4 linked regions of the Drosophila melanogaster genome follow. The protein of the gene in region 1 interacts with the protein of each later gene in a pairwise test. Each region holds a gene or a part of one and is shown on either strand. Other genes may lie near its edges.

What was found.
Region 2: the proteins of CG1850 (region 1) and Jon65Aiii interact in a two-hybrid assay, tested with the Drosophila melanogaster proteins (one large-scale study listed by BioGRID).
Region 3: the proteins of CG1850 (region 1) and CG13742 interact in a two-hybrid assay, tested with the Drosophila melanogaster proteins (one large-scale study listed by BioGRID).
Region 4: the proteins of CG1850 (region 1) and msi interact in a two-hybrid assay, tested with the Drosophila melanogaster proteins (one large-scale study listed by BioGRID).

The regions. Positions count from the first base shown.
Region 1 is NT_033778.4:7,257,892-7,263,342, forward strand, and holds CG1850 (uncharacterized protein), read right to left. Parts: upstream 3,379-5,451; 5' UTR 3,248-3,378; coding exon 1,202-3,247; 3' UTR 976-1,201; downstream 1-975.
Region 2 is NT_037436.4:6,048,476-6,052,633, reverse strand, and holds Jon65Aiii (jonah 65Aiii), read right to left. Parts: upstream 1,878-4,158; 5' UTR 1,858-1,877; coding exon 1,598-1,857; intron 1,539-1,597; coding exon 974-1,538; 3' UTR 944-973; downstream 1-943. Other genes in the region: Jon65Aii (jonah 65Aii), read right to left, coding at 1-284.
Region 3 is NT_033778.4:9,083,467-9,089,831, forward strand, and holds CG13742 (uncharacterized protein), read right to left. Parts: upstream 4,167-6,365; 5' UTR 4,165-4,166; intron 4,105-4,164; 5' UTR 4,092-4,104; coding exon 3,840-4,091; intron 3,785-3,839; coding exon 3,621-3,784; intron 3,555-3,620; coding exon 3,448-3,554; intron 3,348-3,447; coding exon 3,127-3,347; intron 3,067-3,126; coding exon 2,912-3,066; intron 2,861-2,911; coding exon 2,749-2,860; intron 2,627-2,748; coding exon 2,479-2,626; intron 2,427-2,478; coding exon 2,255-2,426; intron 2,252-2,254; exon of another isoform or gene 2,199-2,251; coding exon 1,898-2,198; intron 1,857-1,897; exon of another isoform or gene 1,836-1,856; coding exon 1,278-1,835; 3' UTR 1,234-1,277; coding exon of another isoform or gene 1,196-1,233; 3' UTR 1,136-1,195; downstream 1-1,135. Other genes in the region: CNT1 (concentrative nucleoside transporter 1), read left to right, coding at 1-510, 567-894, 955-1,135, 1,196-1,233; Dbp45A (DEAD box protein 45A), read left to right, coding at 4,445-4,520, 4,576-5,117, 5,176-5,342, 5,400-5,758, 5,825-5,978, 6,042-6,309.
Region 4 is NT_033777.3:25,513,884-25,519,365, forward strand, and holds the start of msi (musashi), read left to right. Parts: upstream 1-2,234; 5' UTR 2,235-2,466; intron 2,467-4,439; exon of another isoform or gene 4,440-4,589; intron 4,590-5,377; 5' UTR 5,378-5,482.

The sequences.
Region 1 (5,451 bases):
ACGCTTCCATTACTCATACGCCACGTAATCGCATAGAGAAATCTAATCAGGTGGGCCGTCGTAAAGGGGTGGGGTGTGATTCTTCGAACGGTAATTTCATCAATTCCAACGGCGATTAACGGTCGGCTGGTTTTGGTTTGCGATAGGTCAGTAAGGACGCTAAGTGGATGGCGTTCTGAATTTAATTGAGGAGCATTTTCATAAGCCGCTACGCGAATTGCAAGGCTTCGATTTATGGAGATTTGTGTAACGGGCCTAAAGAGGCGGTGCATACATATGGATCGCTGATCAGGGTCAATAGCGGAGTTTGTATAAACAGCTAGAAGTGTGACACCATTCGCGGGCTGCAGTTACCAAATTTGTTATGCAGATTGGCCGGCAAACTGTCGGCCTTATTTTGAATTATAGCTACACTTTCTTGGTGCTGAAATGCAAATATCACTTGCTATTTGCAGCATTGAAAATTCTAATTTTAGGCTTACCTTTACCTAAATATGCCCGACTGACTTATCGCTGCTACTGCACTCGAAACTCCCGTATTATCCGATCATTCCGATGGCGATTCCCCATAGAGTATCCTCGCGTAGTATCCACACACTCCCCCCCCCCCCCCCCACCATACACAAAGACCAGGCCATATAACACCAACTTGTTATTTATGCGTCAAGTGCTGAAAGATCTGAATCGATCAGAAACGAATTCGAGCGGATCAGATAACATCTTCATCTGTGCCAGTTTGCGGCGCATTTTAGCATTTTATGCGCATTCTGATCGATCCGACAATCTGGCGACTCGAAATTAGCATGGCAAGCATGGCAGCGTTCTATAACAGTAAAGTCGAGAAAGCCATTTCCTTTGTTCCGCCCCTTTTTACCCCACCATCCACCACCACCCACCATCAACCACCATCAACCATTAAAAACCAACCACCACCCACCACCATCCGATCCCCCAGTCAAATGGGCGCTGTATTTTGCGTTGTTTCTCAACTGAATGCATTTTGAATCGGGAGACGGCGTGAATAGCCAAGCTATGTATACAGGTGTACGAGTATGAGTATGAGTACCTATGAGGGGTGTTATGGATTTACGTGTTGTGTTTGAGGAGATGTGGGCATGTGATCTAACCTAGGGCAATGCAAGTGATTCGAATTCGTGCTCGGATACGGGGGTTTTCGGACGGAGGAGGGCCTTCCAGCTTCCTAGTGCTGGCAGTCGGGGGTCCAGGGATTCCGCAGGTTGGCCAGACGCAGCTGCTCCAGGGCGATCTCGTGGGCGCGGAAGTGCTCCCGGGTGGCTTTGTCCAGTTCACTGGACGACGTGGAGCTGTATGTGACCTGCTGCTTCAATTCGGAGGCAATGGGAGTGGGCAGGGGCTGAAGCGTCTGCAGAGGAAGCGGCCGCGCTGCTGACTTGGTGGTGTATCGAACCAGGAAGGGATTGGAGCCCGGCTCGGCTAGAACTAGGGCAGGAGTGCTCACTGGGACCGTGGATGGCTGGATGGCGTTGGGCTGGTTGGTTTGGATGCGCAGGAAGAAGCCATTTTGCACTTGCTGCTGCTGGGTCACGATGTTGGGCTGCTGCTGGGGCTGCACCTGGTTGTTGATGATCTTGAACTGCTCCGCCTTGCGCAGATATTCAGGAGTGTCCTTCTCGGGTACGGTGGCTGCGGAGGTGGCCTTCAACTGGAGGAGCTCCTGCTTTTCACTCTCCAACCGCTGGCGATCTTCTTGCTCGATCTTTAGACGCTCGGCCTCCAGAATGCGGGTTTCCTCGAGCCGACGATCTGCCTCCTTCTGGCGTTCCATTTCGGCTTCCTTCTCCTCCTGCTTGCGCAGTTCCAGCTCCTGCAGACGCTCCTTCTCCTGCTCGCGCTCCTCCAATCGGATCATGTCGGCAATGTCGGCCACCTTGTCCTCGGCCTGTACTTTCGCTTGGTTGAGTAGCAGCAGGTGCTGCTCACGTGCCAGCTTGACTTCCGGAGTGTCCTGGACGGGCTGTGGTACCTCGGCAATGGGGCTCTTAAAAATGGGTTGAGGAGCAAACGGTGCGGTTGCAATCAGGGGCTGTTGTTGGATGTCGACTGGCTGCCGCAGGATGGCCTCGTTGAACTGCTTCAGATGCTCCTCCCGAGCGCGCACGACCTCTGGAGTTTCCTGGATAGGTTGAGGAGCTTTTTTTTCTGGGAAGGTGAATGCTTGGGGCTGATCGTTCTTAGTGGTCGTCGCCTTAAGAGTGGGTTCTGCGGGGGCAGTAGTTTGACGGAGCAAGGCCTCATTGAACAGCTTGAGGTGCTCCTCGCGAGCTTTTTTCACTTCTGGAGTTTCGTCGATGGGCTGTGGGGTCTGCTGATCTGTGAAGCTGCCCCTCTGGAATATTCCCTGGGGTTGGGCAGCTGGCTGGGTCTCAAAGATGGTTGTGGTGCTCTTGATGATCGGCTGAGGCTGGCTCGCGATTGGCTGCTTAATTCCAGGAACGGCTTTAAGGATGATGGCTTCCTGGGCAGGCTGCCGGAGGAGGGCCTCGTTGAACTGCTTCAGATGTTCCTGGCGGGCCAATTTCACTTCCGGTGTCTCCTCAATGGGTTGAGGCGCATCTTGAGTGGTGGTTTTGATCAATATGTTCTCCTGGTATGGAACAATCTGCTGCTGCATAGGCTGGGCGTACATGACAGGGATCTTTTCCTTCTCGTACTGGTACTCCGGGGACTGGCCGAGCAGCTGCTGAGCCTGTTCGGCGCGCAGCACCTCCAGCCTGGCCTCGTTCCAGATGCGTAGCTGCTCATCCCGGGCGCGCTGGACCTCCGGGGTCAGTCCGGGAACGGCTTCGAAGGCGGAAAACTTGACGATCTGCTCCAGAGGCTCGAACTGAGCCAGCATGCTGGGTGTGGGTTTCAGGCCCTGGGCCTTCAGGCGATCCAGTTCTACGCGCATGGCCTGGTAGCGCTGCTCGCACCAGGCACGGAACAGAGCGATCTGTTGGCTCTCTTGCTCCTCACCGGAGCGGACTAGACTAGAGGTGGACAGATCCCGGATGCCGTTCAGCGGTTCCGGGTAGTTGTAAGGCAGCAGTCGCTCTGCTCCGGTGCCATCGTAGTAGCGGACGTAGCCCTGGGCTAGGCCACTCACCACTGGGAACTCGCCTCTGGCCGGAGCGTAGGCCACCAGCTGCGGATGCGGCTGGGTGCGGATCACAGAGAAGGCCCTCGCGGAACCCAGGGCCAGCAAGCCGATCAGAAATAGCCGCATCTTGCTGTGCTTGGGTTGCTTTCAACTCGTTGGGTTTGACTTTGGGTAGCGACTGGTAGGACTTCTGGAACTCTGGGTGCTCCAAAACTTCGCTACAACTTCGACTACTGCTGTTGGAAGACTGATGCTGTTGGACACCGCGTCCGAGGGTTTTTATACCCGCATCCCGGCGAGTGGAAAAGAACCGCAAGTGGAAGCGGTTGTGGATGTCCTTGGACGAACGGCCGGCCGGCCCTACAGGATGTGTCAATAAATATTCTGTTGGCCCAGGTCGCTGGGATTCTTTATCTCGAACTTAATTGGCCAGCGGCCTCTAGCCCCTCTCATGGACCGCACACACACCCCAACCCTCCCTCCAATGGAAACAGGACCAGCCTTCGCTTGACTTCTTCCGTTATGCTCCAAGGTCGTGTCTGGCTTTATTTTTAGCCCAGGCTGCTGGGAATTTATGGCCATTGGCCTGTTCCGATCGAGTGAAGGGACTTTGGGACCCTTGGTGCTCCGAAGCCTGACTATCGATTCATCAATGACACGCTCTATGCGAGGGACAATTAATTGAATTTGTCAAAGGGGCTCAATGGTCGCACTTGGCTGGCTCGATCATCCCCTTCCTGGCTGCCAAATTTGGCCAGCGGGAGTTCATTTGTATTTTTGTACAGTCGCCGTCTGGTCGCGCCTGAAATCGATTACGCGGTGGCCAAGGAAGGGATCGGGCGGGCAGAGGCAGTCACTCGATATGGCCCGATATGGAGCCCGTTCTTCAGCTGCTTCCTTCAACCGGTTTGCCGATCCAGCCGCTGCCCAATAAATTCAAGTTAATTCCAGTCGGCGCCGTTATATGGCCGATCCGATCCAAGGCGCTGGACGGAGGCAAATGTGCATTAAGGTTAAACAATGTCAATCATGCAAATTATATCACTGCTCGCCGGCATTATATCCCAGCACATTTTTGTGGTTTCGCTGGAGGAGCCGCCTCAAATTGTGAACCAGCTTTTTATTTAAATCAATTCGCAAGCAATATAACATATATGGGAAAAGAGGCTCGTTTGGATGTAGAAAGGAGCTACAAAGAACAGTATCCCAGGTGGAGTTTATATATATATAGTAAAATTGTTGTTTTATTTATGAGTCGAACTAATGTCCCGTCAGTTGACTAAGGACAACGCCAAGAAATAAAAAATAGTTTTTAGGAGAAATAGTTTCACGACTTTATTCTTTGGATCTCAGCTTAAGACTAAAAATCAAATGCAAATTGGATTGAGGAGAAGCCTCAGTATTTGAACAATATTTGTATTTCGGGAGAGCCTCGCTCTTGGGTTCTTAAGATTAGGTAGCGTTGAAAGAGGGCAGTCAAATCTGCTTAGGTCAGGCTTTAGGATGTTTACAAGAACGGCTGCGCTGCCAAAGATAAACGAATGCTGCGCAGCTGGGATACGTTATGGAAAATTACTAGAGTGCATTACTGATTTCTTTGAAATAATGGAAGTGGCTGGTTTGGACCACCCAAATACGTCACTCCCCTTCCCTTAAAGAGAAGCCTATACTTGGGCTGGGATTGATGGATATAGTGTGGGAAATGGAGTTTCTTCTATTTCTGTTTGTTGTGGTGTGTTTTGATTTTGATTTTTTCTTATTTTAAGTTTTGCATACAGCATCATAAATGGTTTAAATGATACATATCTTAAATATGAGTACAACAAAATTAGTGCGATTATTACAATGATCATTTGTATGTAAAGTGTAATATTGTTCTCTGAAATCATCTCAACAATGTCGTTGTGTTTTACAATTTTTATTTTTGTTATATTAAGTGGTGTGTATAGTGGTGTCAAATCTATTTCTGGTTCTAACAGATTTTCACTTAAAATTATATTATTGATTTCTATTTTGCATTGCGTTACTCTTATCATTTTGTTTCCTTCTATTTTTATTTTATTAATTGAATTTTGGCAATTTTGGTTAAGAATTGTTTGGGTTAAGTTCCAGGTTACAATTGTGTTTGGTTCTATGTATTTTATTATTTCGTTCGTGTGTACTGGCTTAAAATTACAAATTGGATTTAAGTGTTTAATAATATTGGTGACACATTCATTTTTTACTTCTTTATTTTCGGTATTATAAACTTTATTTTCTTTTTCAAAATATGATTGTGTGTCTGTGTAATCTAGCTGATAGCCGTTGGAGTCTGGGTAAGGAATTATTTT
Region 2 (4,158 bases), on another chromosome or scaffold:
GCTCCATAGCTGATGGTCACGTAACTGGCTCCATAGGTGCAGTGAGCCGCAGTGAGTACCCATTCGTGGCCAATGATGGAGCCTCCGCAGTACCAGCCACCGCCGTTTCCATTATCGAAGCGCAGAGCTACAATGTAGGGCACTTTTCCCTCGTAAGCAGGATACCCATTGGTAATACGTCCGTTAATCTTATTGCCAGCGGGCATATCCTTCACGGGAACAGGCCTTTCAAGGGCCGCCACCAAGGCGAAAGCCGAAAACAGCAAAACTCCAAGCACTTTCATCGCTTGAATGATTTTTACACTGAAAACAATGGCACTTGCGGCACTTCTTTATATAGTCTGCCGAATGAGTGGTATCTATCGGCTCTAAATATTCGTAATCAGTTGGTTTGAAGATTTACAATCTGCTTATATCTGCGATAGATCTTTACGATCTGCGAATATGAAATTCGATTACTTCGGGTTCCAGGAATAATTGCCATCCAACCTCAAGTAACCTTGTATATAGAATTTCAATAAAGGAGCTACAAAAACAATGAACGCTCTTAGAATATTGCATATTTTTTTCTGTTTCTGCCACTGCAGTCTAGAAGGCTGATATATTGTTATTTATGATAGAATGATTACGAAATCACCAAATTAGGGAAAACTACGAATTAAATTATTTTTAAAGCTAGAAAGTATACTACAAAATAGTCTGCAAGCATGATCGGATGTATATATATATATATATATATATAATGTATATATAATCAACCAGATGCAGTGGTAATACCGATCATGCATACGAGATGATTTAAATATTGCTGTAGTTTAATTACTTAATAAATTCGGACAAAGGTTGGTAGTTTTCGTATTAAGCATAAATATGGAATCGGTAATTCTGCTAAATTAACTTTTAAATCTGCAATAGTTTTCCCAGAATTAAAAGTTTTGGTTTTAGTCATTAATCGTTTTTATTTATGCTGTGCTTAGTAGGAGACGCCGGTGTTTGTCTTGATCCAGTCCAAGTAGCTGGTCACACGGGTGAAGCCAGCAGGGGCACCGGACTCACAACCAGCGCTCGACACGAAGGAGGTGACACCGATGAGCTTACTGTCGCTGACCAGGACCAGTGGGCCGCCGGAGTCGCCGTTGCAGGTGGACACTTTGTTGGGGGTAGCAACGCAGATCACGTTGTTGGTGGCTACCAGAGAGCCATAAGTGTTCTGGCATTGAGAGACGGACACAACCTCGAAGACTTCGTACTGCAGAGTGTTAGCGACGCTGGTGGCGGAATCGGAGGTCTTGCCCCATCCGGAGGCAATAGCCTGCTGTCCAGTGTAAGTGGAGTAGGTACCGGCGATGGCGGGCAGCTCAACCTTGTTAATAAGGGCGGTGAAGGCAACCGTTGGGGTCTTGATCAGGGAAATGTCGTTCCTCAACACAATCGAGTTGTAGCTGGCGTGCTGAACGAAGTTATCGGCGGAAACGGTCTGGACCAGCTGGGCACTAGTACGCACGGTGGCTCCGTAGTAAATGGTCACAGCGGAGGCACTGAGAGATATACATTAAAATTTAACTCATTTTGTAGATAAATAAATAAGTTAACTCACCCAGAAGTGCAGTGAGCAGCAGTGAGAACCCAGGTGTTGTCGATGATGGAACCACCGCACCACCAGCTGCCGCTGGTGCTGGCGAAGCTGAGTCCCACCTGGTAGGGGAACTGGCCAGAAGTGGCGGTCTTGCCGTTGGTGATGCGACCCTCGATATTGGTCACGGCGGGCAGGTCACGGGGGTGGATCGGCACCTGCTGGGGCAGCAGACCGGCGGAGGCGGTGGCCAGAGCCAGGGCGAAGACTACGAGCACTTTCATGATGGTCGGAGAACGAATGATTCTTTACCGGCCACACCAGCACTTTTATACCAACTAATTGGGCGGCTTATCATTGGCCGTGCCTCTTGTATTTTGACCAAGTCACTTCTGTTTATTCGCGTGAAATTGCTTATCAGTCGTGGGTTTTGCTCCGATTTTCGATTTTTTTCTTTCTTTTATTGATGTCGGCCAAAAAGGAAGCAGTCCCACTTATCGGCTTTGATTGACCCAAGCCAAAAAAAAAAGTATCTGCTGTTATCGGACTTGTGAGAAACCGGTGAGATTACAAACCGCAGGCTTTCAATTAAACGCACTTCACAAGCGAACTGGCGGCAAACGTTGTCCACTCGAATGATAAGTGGTAAGTGATAAGCATAGATTTCTCTAAATGACGGTAGTGATATTTTGCCAAACGGACGACTTTGGCTGACTTTTGCTCTGTTTTAAGGCATATACATGCATATTTATAGCTGGGAAAACCGGCTAAGCGAAATCGGTTTAATCGAATTATTTGATTATTTTCGGGAGCCATCGATCAGAAATTGTTTACGGCGACACTCACCGCAGTGGAGTGGCTGAAATACCCAGTGATTATCTGATGGCTGGGCCCAAATCGTATTAAGCATACGCAGCGGTGTGCCAAACTTGCCAACTCATTCGAGTGGGCGGGCGGTCAAAGGCGACAGTGGCAAGTTGAATCTGGGAAATTGAAATCAAATCGCCTTACGTGTCGGGCATGCAAAAGCATACTGGATTTTGGGGCCAGTCTCCAGAACACAATCCTGCAGGACATTAGCACATAAAAACAATTCATTGCCTTTCATGCTGACACATGTAGTGTGTAGTTGCTGTCGGGCAGTGACTTTTGTGGGCCACTGTGCGTGTCTGGGCCATAAATGCCAAGCATAAAATAGATTTAATCCTAAAGGAGCAGCGAAAACTTGGCCTGAAGAATTTTTCATCTATTTAATCCTTATATTAACTGCGTTTTATTGATTTTCCTCTGCCGTTCGTTTTGTTTGCCCTGCACTGCTGAGCGTTTTTATGGTTGCTTCTTTCGCTGATTGCGGAAAATTTCGCTTCTTTTGTCTCAGACTCTCTGGAGGAACAAAGGAAACTAATTTCCTGAAATATTTGCTCTCATTGTTTGTGGAGCAGCAGTTTAAAAGCAGCCCAAAAATAAAAAAGGGTCGCACTTTAAATTGCTGGCAGAGACGTATGTAGTACACTTAGATATAAATGTATATTACGTATACGTAATGCGCTCACCCGACACACACGCTTATTAGACGCATTTCCGGCTGCGACGACGACAGCCTGAACAACAATGTCCAATGTCCTCTCGGATAAAAGGAGCACTCGGCTTACCCAACCAGTTGCGTAGATGGGGGGTAAGTAAGAAAAGGATCCGAATATTCATCAGGATATGGCTACGCCTCTGGTTCAAGTGGATTTGAACACAGTTGGGATAAAAATAATAGCAAGCAAGAAAGCTTAGAAAAAATATACATATTAACTAATATTTTGATTCACGTTTTCACGTTAAATATTTTTATATTTTTACCTATGCATTTTAAAATTAATAAAATCTTCAAAAAAAGTTCCAAAAACTTTTGTTGCTAAAATAATTATACTTAGATCGCATAAATGGGCTTCGATCCCTTTTTAATAGTTCAAAGAACTATGAGAATGAAAAAGAGGTCTTGTTGCTAAAATTCCGACCCCAATTATATACTACGTGTGTAAAAGTCCTTAGGAAGGCATTTGAAATGTCCCCCAGCGTGCGCGCTCCTTTGACGAGGAAAAGGAAAAGGACGAGACGACGACGACGACGACAAACAAGATTGCAGCAATAAAATTTCGACAAGTGAACAACAAATGATAAACGAAGCAGCAGCTTGGGATAAAAAGCAGCAGCGGCAGCGAAGGGAGCAGTTCTCGGAGAGGTCAGCCAGTTGGTTCTGTTGGGGAGCCCTTGAAATGCTGTTGGCTGGCCAAGGACTCCGTCCGGCTCACTTCAACCGGGCTTGGCCCTCTCCGGGACGACCATCTAATGTGAGCCGCATCGATTACGCTTCCACTGGCACTCGGATTGTGTGTTTTGGCTGTCGCTATTCCCCCAATCCAATAATGTCGAAACAGGCACTTGGAGAAATAGAAAGAAATGCCCTGTTAACGTGTACTTAAAACGTTTTCAAGGCCCCTATCGAAAATAAAAACTGAAACGTTTATATAAAATATATGTACTACTCTTGTTATAAACTATCTAAATTGACCATAGTATAAGTATGACAATCTGAA
Region 3 (6,365 bases), 1.8 Mb from region 1:
GGACAAGGTGACGATATTTCTGAACTACGCACAGCACGGAGCACGCTTTGTGTACGGGGATCGCATTTGCGATGAGTACGTCTTTGCATTTGCCATACTGGCGGTGGTGTTCTTCTTCAGCGTGATCACCAGCATTATGTATTACCTTGGCTGGATGCAGTTCATCCTGAACGGTTTTGGGTTCCTCTTGCAGGCCATGGTGGGCACCACCGTTTGCGAAAGTGTAAATGCAGCGGGCAACGTGTTTCTAAGCATGACCGAGAGCCCTCTGGTCATCCGGCCGTACATCGAAATACTGACCGTCAGCGAGTTGCACGCTATATGCACCTCCGGCTACGCGACAGTGGCCGGTACTGTCTTGGGGGCTTATGTGTCCTTCGGTGCTTCCGCCAGCTTTCTTATCGCAGCCAGCGTAATGGCTGCTCCGGGTTCACTGGCTTTCGCCAAACTGTTCTACCCCGAGACCGAGGAATCTCTGACCAGGTCCGACAACATTAAGCTGGAAAGCTCGTAAGTTCCTCTTCATAAGAGTCAACATTTGATAATCGCCCAGACACCTTGCCAAGGACGGATACGTCTATTTTGGATGCGGCCGCCTCGGGAGCTGCAGCAGCCTTGTTGATTGTGCTCGGAATCGTCTCGAATATCATCGCCTTCCTAGCCATTGTGTTCTTCCTAGACGCTGTAACGGAGTGGATTTTCGAGCTAATTGGACTGCATAACATCACCCTACTCTACATTCTCTCCCAGATCTTTATCCCGATTGTCTTCGTGATGGGCGTGCCGTGGCACGATTGTCAAGCAATTGGCCTGGTGGTGGCCCAAAAGTCGTTCATAAACGAGTTTGTGGCTTATAGAAACCTGGGCATATTGGTTAGCGATAAAAAGGTTGATGTGAGTACCCATCTGCATATTCTATTCTTATAGATTATTTTAAAACTAGTATTCTTATAGCCGCGGAGCGCTGCCATAGCCACTTTTGCCCTTTGTGGGTTTGCCAATCCCGGATCCCTGGGCATTGTCATCGCTTCGCTGAGTGCAATGGCACCATCCCGACGATCAGACATCACCAGGGTAGCCTTTCGATCCTATTTCGCAGGCAGTTTCGTTAGCTTTACATCCGCTTCGCTTGCAGGTAAACTGTCTTTATTTACACGTTATTTTTAACCGCCTTATCGCACAACATCTTAATTAGGGATTCTTATTCAAAATGAGTACACAGGTGGTAATTAATTGATTTAGGTAAGTGAGCGATACGAAAAGCATAGAGCAGGGAGCTAGGGTACAATTCCACTCAAATTGGCCATTACCTTCTTGAGCAATTCCCAGTCGGCAGCATCGAAATTCGCGGTGCACTGGGTCAGTTGAAGAGAAGCCTCATATATATTACGAAGGATTTCTTTAGGCGCCAATTCACTCCGTCGACGTTTTAGACTAGAGACCGGACATTTATGATCTCCATGGCGAATGTAGCTTGATTTACTGAGATCAAATGAACCGTCGACAACAGTTCCGGGTTCGACATGCAATGCCTTAAACAATGGGTATATTGCATGGCGGGCACTAAATGCTCTTAGTTGGGCGTCATCGCTGACTTTGCAGGAGTCGAGGAATTTCTCGCGATACCAGTTTGTGCATCCAGCATTTGGAGGCAGTCCCCTAAGTATAAGTAATTTGGTGGATCCATTCGCACGCGCTAGTAGTTTGAAGTAAACATTAGCAAAGCTAATGCTCTTGTCAATGCCTAAAAGTTTATTGGCCATTTCCGATGTCCGCTGAAACCAATGGGAACAGTCGATTTGATCGTGGTGCACCAAAAGTTCCAGTAGAGCAACCTTTGGGTATAAAAAATCAAGGTATGTATATCCATTTTATAAGTGTACTTCTACTTGCTTACCACTTCATAGTACAACTCAACTTTTGTGGGCGCTGAGGTGGAGATGAGTTCTAAGCGCTTCAATATCTTCATTCCCACGTGGCCATCTGATTTTGCGACGACAGACAGGTGCCGGAAGTTTTGAATGCTTATGACAGGAAGTTCCTGCTTTCCCAAGCAGTGGAAGTACCTAAGGAATCGTTGTACATGCAATTGGCTTGGATTTGTGGAAAACATGGCGTAAGAATTATTGCACTTATGCCAGTGAGCCATAGCCTCTTTTATGGCATGATCTGTCCAGCATTTGTTGGCCTCTTTTAGCCTAAAAACATAGAATAGTGAAATAAATTTTAAAATGTATGATTTATAATTACTAACCGAAAGCACAGCATGAGAATATCCGCACACACTTGCGATGTAATAAAATCCTTTTGAAATATGCCGGCACAGAAATACCTATGTAGTTCTATGTTACCCACTAAATACAAAAGACAACCAAACGCATCCAATACTTGATTATAGCGTTCGCCGTGAACAAAATTTTTAGCATCTGTGGGCTCAGTAAGTAGTAAGAAATAAATATGATCGAATCGACACCTTACCTTTAAACAAATATTCAAAAGTTTGTTGTAATGTTCGGCAAGTAGATGGGAGCACATCCGCATCGTCTGTAGACACAGCATTAATAAAATCCATGCAAGCGTCGAAGTAGTCAAATTTTGGTGTACCAAGGACACTGGATATTAAATACTAAAAGGACAAATTTTAGTAACATTAACAAAATCTGATGATGTATTGTATGAATGAATAGTTTTCAATCAAAGTCTATCCGAAGACATTTATTTGCAAGCGATTTCTGAATTTCATCTTACTTCTTGACATTTTTGGAACTTGTAAAGCAGCTCTAAAATATCTAGTACATGTGGTCGTACTAACACAGAAATTAGCTGTTGCTTCTCGATGTCAGAGTAATGTGATGGCCTCCTAAAAGAAAATACAATTATTGCAAATAACCATTTCATTTTTCAAACTTACGTTCGTTCACACATTATTAAGTCCATCAGACAAACAGCTACATCATCATCAACATACACCACACCTTTTTGAAGAATATGATATAACAATACAATGTAGGTCCTGATACCATCTACAAGCTCCTCTAACTTTTCCGCAGGAACAATACGATTGTCCTAAAAAAAATGTCTTGTTAAATAAACTCTTTTACAAATCGTAAGCTTTGTTATACGAACGATGTCAAAAGTACTATTCAAGTGAACGGTAACCACATCACATAGATGAAAAACAGTTTCCCTAAGCCAATTGGGCAGTTTTTCGTCTGTAGGATTAGCATGCCAGGTTGTCATGAAGTGCAAGCAAATATGAGCCAACGTCTCGCCTGTCTGTACAGATAACTGCAGATCACCAGTGCGTGTTCCTTCGGTATCTGCGATTTCCATTATCTTTTGCATCACTGACAATTGTTTAATATAAAGTCTATAATTAGTCTACAACAACTTTCAGATAATACTCAAATTTTTGGGTGTATCAATTCGTTAGTATTCCTAACTTACAGGTCGCAAGGCGAGGGTGGACTTCTGTCAAATTAATGATAGAATCCTTTATTAAAGAAAGCGTTTCGAGTTGAAGATCCGCAACAATCTGGCGATGACTCTTATCGCTGAATGATGTAAGCAAAAATATATAGAAATATTTTACATATAGGTTTTATCCAAGCCCCTCTTACCACATTAAACAGAAGTCGATAATTGTAAAGACAAGATAGGCAAGGATTTGAACCAAACGTTCGCCTGCTTCCAGCAATCGATCCCTGAATGTGGATACAAATTCTTGTGCCACAGACATGAGTTTTATATGACCGCTGTGGACTTCATTGCCAGTTTCTGCTTCCTGAGGACGAATTTAAAGTTAATAGACTGAAGCGCATTGTGTAAGAATTACCTACGATCGTGAACCACTTGCACATTTCCCGAGCTGCTAGTACACAATACCCGGAATCGTCGATGTATGCTCCTAATAGTTTGGTGAACCACAATGTCAAGACATCCACAGGATTCGCGGATTTATTTGCGATACATGCTGAGCAAATGGAAACCGCCGAATCAAAGTCTATCATCAGGATGATGTCCTTCTGGTCTATAGCCACCAGCTCACTGTAGGCTACAGATGCACCCAGGCTATCATGGTTTTCGGACATCTTTGCATTGAGTCTAAATCGAAATATTCAGTGTGTTTACAAAATGATCGCGCCCATAGATGCGGAATCTTACCTGTCTAGAGCGTGACTATTGTCGATTAATTATAAAATGTATTATTAATTTTATAGTGAATTTTTTCTTATTACTCGCCAATAATTCTGCGGTTGAAGTAAATAAAAAATTTAATTGAATTTAAATTAAAAATGCGTACTAAATACAGCTAACCACTCACACGGAGCAAAAATTAAAAACGTATCGATAGTTATATACCGATACAGAAGACAATACTTCCATCACTAATACAGCGCACGTTGTTTTCCTTTTTTATTTCGTTGTATTTTTATTTACCGAAATGCAACGAAAGGAGGCCAATCCCTTTCAGATCCTGGGCCTACGTCCATGGTTGGTTAAGCAGCTGACCAAGTTGGGTAATGTCAAGCCGTCCACGGGTTTACCCAAGTAATTAAACCATTGCGCTTTCAGGCCTGAAGGGAGCAACTCCAATCCAACAGAAATGCATCCCAGCGATATTGGCGGGCCAGGATTGCATTGGAGCTGCCAAGACGGGCTCGGGCAAGACCTTCGCCTTTGCCCTGCCCATTCTGGAGCGGCTGAGCGAAGAGCCAGTGAGCCACTTCGCCCTGGTGCTGACGCCCACGCACGAGTTGGCCTATCAAATCTCCGAGCAGTTTCTTGTGGCTGGACAGGCGATGGGGGTGCGCGTATGTGTTGTCTCTGGCGGCACAGACCAAATGGTCGAGAGCCAGAAGCTTATGCAGCGACCGCACATCGTGGTGGCCATGCCCGGCCGTCTCGCGGATCACCTAACCGGCTGCGACACCTTCTCCTTCGACAATCTGAAGTATTTGGTTGTTGACGAAGCGGATCGCATGCTGAACGGAGACTTTGACGAGAGCCTATCCATCATTGAGCGCTGTTTGCCAAAGACAAGGCAAAACCTTTTCTTTTCCGCAACCATGAAGGACTTCATAAAGGAGTCCAGCATATTTCCCATTGCCAGCGATGTAAGTTTTATGAATACCCTGTTGAATGGTACTAATAGATATCTTAATCCGAATGTAGTGTTTTGAATGGTCGCAGGACTCAGACGTGGCCACTGTAGAGACTCTGGACCAGCGTTATCTGCTGTGCGCCGACTACGATCGCGACATGGTCTTAATAGAGGCACTAAGAAAGTATCGCGAGGAGAACGAAAACGCTAATGTCATGATCTTCACCAACACAAAAAAGTTAGTTGCACAATAATAGGAAGTAAATTCTAAGGATTTAATAACGAATCATTTTAGGTACTGTCAGCTTCTCTCGATGACACTGAAGAACATGGAAATCGATAATGTTTGCTTGCATGGTTTCATGCGGCAAAAGGAGCGCGTAGCTGCTCTAAGTCGCTTCAAGTCCAACCAAATACGTACACTGATCGCTACGGATGTGGCCGCCAGAGGTCTGGATATACCCAGCGTCGAGCTGGTTATGAATCACATGCTTCCCCGGACACCAAAGGAGTACATCCATCGCGTAGGCAGAACAGCAAGAGCGGGGCGCAAGGGCATGTCCATCTCCATATTCCGCTTTCCACGCGATCTAGAGCTTTTGGCCGCCATTGAGGAGGAGATCAACACCAAACTTACAGAGCATCCCATCGATCGTAAGTTTTGTTGGAATTAGTGGCACACAAAATAACTATCTTTAATATATATATTATATAAATTAGAGCGCATGGTGGAGAGAATCTTTATGCAAGTAAATGTCACGCGCCGTGAATCAGAGATGCAATTAGATAATAACGATTTCGACGAGCGAGCGCAAAACTATAGGCGAAAGACGTGGATTATGGAGGGGAAGGACCCCGACCAAATGGAAGCTTTGTAAGCAGTGGAAAATACGCATATTCGTTGTATTTTATAACAATTTTTGTATCCCATCCACAGGTATCGTAAAAAACAGAAGGATAAACTAAGGGAAATACGCCGAAAGAGAAAACTGCAGCACGCAGAGCCGGCAGCCAGCGAAGAGGGCAAAGCTCTCCTACAGGACGAGCGTTTTAAATCTGTAGACAGTGCGAGGTTTGAGAAGAAGGGAAAAGGACGAAGTAGAGCCACCCAAGAAGATACCCCAACCAAGCCACTGAAAAGGCTTAACAAAGAAAAACCAGTTGCCCAAAAGGGCAGAGCAGATGTCAAGAAAGATAAAGCGTGATGTTTAAATATACTTTTATAAAATAACAAAATAACTTTTGAGCTTACACTGCTAAG
Region 4 (5,482 bases), on another chromosome or scaffold:
TTGCCTAAAAACTTATACCCATTAATATTCACTAATAATTCTTGCATAAAAGCTGCATATATTTCTTCTATTGAGCCCTAAATCTCTGAAAGCGCTTTTTAATTTTATGGCTGTTTCATTATTAGGCCAATAACCGACGTTGCCCGCTGCTGGTTAACACCCTGCTCCTCTGCCCCTTAACCCCAGAAGGCCCCACGTGTTCGATTTTACTGCCGGCCAAGGGTTTCACTCCTTTCTGCTGATCAATAAAACGGAAGCTAAATCAATTAGCCAATGGCGGGGTAGTGGGAAACTTCTTGGCACTTTCATGAACTTCTGGCCGGTAATTAAAATCCACCCACAAATACCAATCTGTACTGGAACAGATTTCACTAATTACTTTTATGACCCAAATTTGCTGAATGCGCAGTTTGCTATAAATTTCTACCTTTGAGCGGTAATAAACTCTGGGAACATCAGTTGCAGACTAGATATTGCCATTGATATAGATCAATGGCTTATTTTGTCCTGTTGTCCTGTATTCCTGAATGGATCTTGGGGTCTTTGGGCAATCTACATCTATTAAAAAGTGTGGTAACTGTCAATAATCTAAAATGTATGGTATTAAAATATTTCAGTTGTTATAATTGTTGTATAATTGTTTTTAATTCTAAATTCCAATAACTTATTCTAAAATCTTTTATAATGAATTAAGAGGTATCTCTTAGTCCAGAAGACGTATGACGACTTTTTCTAAGAACATTTTCTTTTTATTCGTTTCAGTCACTTCTCTCGCCATTTCCGAACTAATCGAAGACGCTTTCTGGCAGAATTTATTGCTGCTTCGGCGGGGGCGTGGCAGGCGGTGGGCGGTTAAGATGTAGACGAAATGGAGGCGTGGCAGGGGCAAAAACTGCTCCTTTGACCTGTCTGCCTCAGTCACTGTTGTTGCTGTTGCTATTGTTATATATTTCTCCTTCTTTATCGCCCGAAGCTCTGCAAACAAGTTTCTTGTGTCCCGACAAAAAAGGAACCAACATGAAAAAATGGACCAAACAAAATAAGGGAAAATATATTACAGAAAAAAACTCTTTTTCGCCGTCAGCTGCTCGATTGCAGAAAACTCGTTGCGCTTGTTGCGCGTTTTGTTGTGAATTATAAAGAAAATAAAAAAAGGAGCAAATTTCATGAAATCTTGCTTAGGAATGGGTAGGCCTTTGATGTTTTTAGGCCGTCTAATAAGCCGCTGAAATTATTGTTTTAGATTTTTTTCTTCTGATTTGGGAGCGCCCGTCTGCGATTTTGCAAAAAATTTGTGTAAATTTTGAATTTTGCGGGGGCGTGCCGACATTTGGTAATTGCGGTGGGTGCAACAGGCGACAAAAACGCTATAAAATAAGCTATAAACTGGGATTAAGTCGTTGTTTAACAATCATATAAAAATGGTAAAGGTAAAATAATAATAAAGTGTGTGTTAAATAAAAATTACAATATTACAAGCATTTCCTTCAAATTAATTAAATTAAATTTTTTATTGCACTTAAGCAACAATTTTAAAGTACCGAAAAATACCAAGTAAATACCAAATGATGCTCATTTTCATTTCCCCACTGAAAAAGCCACAGCAACAACACTACGTCGCAGCATACGGGACCGGAAGTTAGAGAGCGCTCGAGTGCGAACGGGACAACAGTATGAGTCCCAAAAGTTGTTGCTGTCTCCCCAAATGGCGTTTTTTGAGCGACTTCGCCGCAAACAACAACGCGCTCTCAGTTTATGGGAGAGAGAGTTTGCTTGTTTTTGTTCCTTCGCTGGTGGTGTGGTGGGGGCGAGTGAACCGCTTATGTTGTGGGTGGTTGTTGCCATCGCATCGCAAGAGAGAGAACGATTCCGCTCTCCTTTTGGATTACCCTGTACTTCAGAAATTCCCAGAGTATATTGCGTTTGCAGAGTATTATTTTAAAATATATTTTATATTATATCTATTTTTTAAATAAAATTCCTAAAGTAATTTTTTAAATTATATTTATCATTGGGAAGTTAAGCTTAGTGTATCTAAAACTTATTGTATCTAAAAACCGGGTATCTGCAAGTTGGAAAACTCGACCACTTGTTTTATTTTATTATGCTTGCCGCAAACGACAAACAACCGAGAGAGATAGATCGACAAAGAGAGGAAGAGGTATAAAAAGCGAGAGGCGGTGAGAGAACTTTTCCGCGGGGGCCGCTTGTACTTGTATCTGTATCTTTCGGACTCAGTTTGCCTGCGACCGTTACAACAGCCAGTTGATTCGAAGCGGAGCGATTCGTGGATTCGTTTTCATCGTGTCGTCGTCGTTTTGTCGTTGATTTCCGTTTGTGCATGCAGATAAAGCCAGGTCTTAACTTGATTCTGGACTGGGCCGAAAATCGAAATCGAAACCGAAGTGGGCTAATGGAAAATAAACAAACAAACAAAGCTTGAATTTTGTTTGCCGCGCATTTAAAGTAATTCCTATTTGTCGCCCCTAGAAAATACAATAATAAGAAAATCTGTTTCTGACATGTTGCATGACTGAATTAAATTACGTGTTAAATTGTTAAGCTAAATGAACAAACCGCATCCATAAAACGGATGCCAGTGCATGCAAATTAATTAAAAATACGATTCGAAATCTCTCTACACATGCATGCACAACCCATCAAGCTTTATTCAAATCAATGACTTGAGCGGCTAAATAAAATATGTATTTCATGGCTATTAAGATTATAAACAAAATTTATCATTAAATCTAAAATCAACTTTCATGGTTTATTAACTAATGATATGTTTAACTAATGAATGCCAAAACATAAAGCAATTTAATTCGCTATGACTAAGAGACCGATAATCCATACAAAAGACGAGTTCAAGATATGTGTGTATAAATAATATAAAACAATGAACTCTCAGCTCGAGATAAAAAGCCCAGTAATTTGACTAAATAAAACATGTGTAATTAAATAAGTGCTTTACTAATAAATTGATACAAAATTCAATTCAAATGGATTAAATTTATATCAAATTTCGATTCGAGATTGGTGAACATTTGTGCACTGGAGAAAACCATCAATTTTTAAAACAGAAAAATCCATTATCAAACTACAAGCTGTGGTTAATGTTTACTGTGGTTGTTGTCGGTGACTAGCTCAGTTTTATCAACAACAACAATTTTGCGTTTCAGTTTTGTGTATTTCTCAACGAGTTGTGTACGATAAGAACTGAAAGGAGACCTAAGATTTGAAGAAAATCAGAAATGGCTCTAGGGAACTAACGATAATGAAATATTTTACTACAATTTAACAAATTGTCGTTATTTAAAAGAAATAAACACGCATAAGCCCGTGTACAGTTCAAAATCCCATGGAATATGTGACAATTAAATTAATTAAGCTTAAACAACAGATACGATAACTGAACACTTTCCAACCGAAATAAATTTGATTTGTAAATTTCACATAAATCAAAGCGAAATAGCTGGCAATCCTTCCCTTCAACTGAATTAAACAATTACTCTTTGTTTCTCAGTTTTAAGCATTCAAAATCAACAAAATGCGTCAGCTGCGAGCTGAGCTTTAAAAGAAATACGAGCTGAGCAAACAATATAAGATAAACACAGAAAGTCAAGTACAGTCAGTGCTCCAATTTTGTAACCCACAAATATATTTTAGGATTTTCCCAATAAAGTAAAGTGCAAATTGTTTAAAACGACAGCTCAAAAATAAGTCATGGTTTTTTTTTCGAAATATAAATAAAATAGTTTCTGTTCTTTACACTTTAATGACAGTAAGTTAGAGCCTATAAATAACAATTACTTGGAAATACTGAATTTAGTTGCATACATGCTACAAAGTAAGCTCTTAATTGTTTTTTTTTTATCATATTTTTCGACGTTTATAAGAATACGTATTTTATGAAAATCTGCAAAGTTGCTTAAAAAACCTTCAACATTTCCATGTTTGAAGGATAGATAATGGAGTTATCGTTGAGGGTGTTCCACTATTCCAGAGCTCACTTTAAATTGGGGGGAGAACAAAGCGGGCTATAAAGACGCTCGTTCGGCGACTCAGTGTGCTGGCTATATGCGACTATATGGCTATATTGTAGGCCTATTGTCTGGGGAAACTGCATGGAACTGCATATCGGAAATGATTATGGGGGGAGTACCAGCTTGATGACGGTAGAGGCGCGATAAAAGACACACAAAAGGGGGGAGAAAAAAAAAGGTTGGTACGTCATTAACTGACTCAGCCGCATGTTGCATCCAAGCTTTTTTTGTTGCTCCTTTTTCTGCTCAGTATTCACGTCCTGCAGAGAGAGTCCCAAAATCCAGAGAGAGAGCGTGGAGAGCGAGCGGAGAGGGAGAGCGGCAGAGCTTCAGCGCAGCACGGCGAAATTCGCTGAGCTCGCCTTAAACAGTTCGCAGCCGCTCCTTCACCGTTAGTTAAAAAAAATTCCTTGCCCGAAGCGGAAGGATTGTCGAATTTCGTGGATTTTTGCGAATATTTCCCGTGTAATTTTCGTCACGCGTCGTTTATTTGCACCAGCGAGTGTGTGTGAGTGTGTGTATAACGTACTGGTGTGTGTGCGTGTAAGTGACTCAACTCGAAGACATTTTTGTTTCTTTTGTCGAGGGACGCTTCTTTGGTTTTTTATTTCTCTTTCACATATTCGCATATTCTTTTGCGGCGAATTCAATGACGTCGCAGAAATTTGTTTTTATGCCATGAATTTATGTTTCTGTATGCGTGTGCATGTGTTTTTGTTCAAGCAAATCGATTAAATTTATGAAAAATTAATACGAAAACCGGCAGCGAACTATACAAAAACTATGCAAGCGATCCAAGACTCAAATGTTTTTAATTAAAAGCCGTGTGTGAAATATTATCAAACCGCAACGGCAAAAACAACAATATTTTATCACCATTTTGAGAGCGGCACGCACGTGTGTGAGTTCTTGAGTGTTAGTGTGTGTGTGTGTGCAGTGGCGTGTGTGTATGTGTCGAAAAAGCCGGCAATGGCAAAAGAGAATTCAGAATTCAGCATTGAAAGGCGAGAAGCAAAAGGCAAAAGCGAATGCCAAACAGCGAAAGTAAAAGCGTAAAGCCAAAACAAAGAAATGCCAAAGAAAACCCAGAAAGCCAAAAAAAATTGTTAAAATTAATAAACAATAATGCAAATCAATGTTATGGGAAATGGAAAAGCGCTTCAGATACAAATATCAATGAAAACACAAATATTGACAAATACATTTAATGTAAACATTAAAAAGTTGCATGACTATATACTTTTACTAATAAAATAACATAATGCATTCTTAGAAAAAATCCATAAAACATGTTATAACAATAGTTTAATAATACTTAATTTTTTTTCTAGAAAATCTGAAACCTTGCCATCTAATATTGGTGGTATTAAAATGAGTATTACCTAAGAAAAACAAAAATAATTCAGTGCGGTTATAAAATACATAATATTTAACAA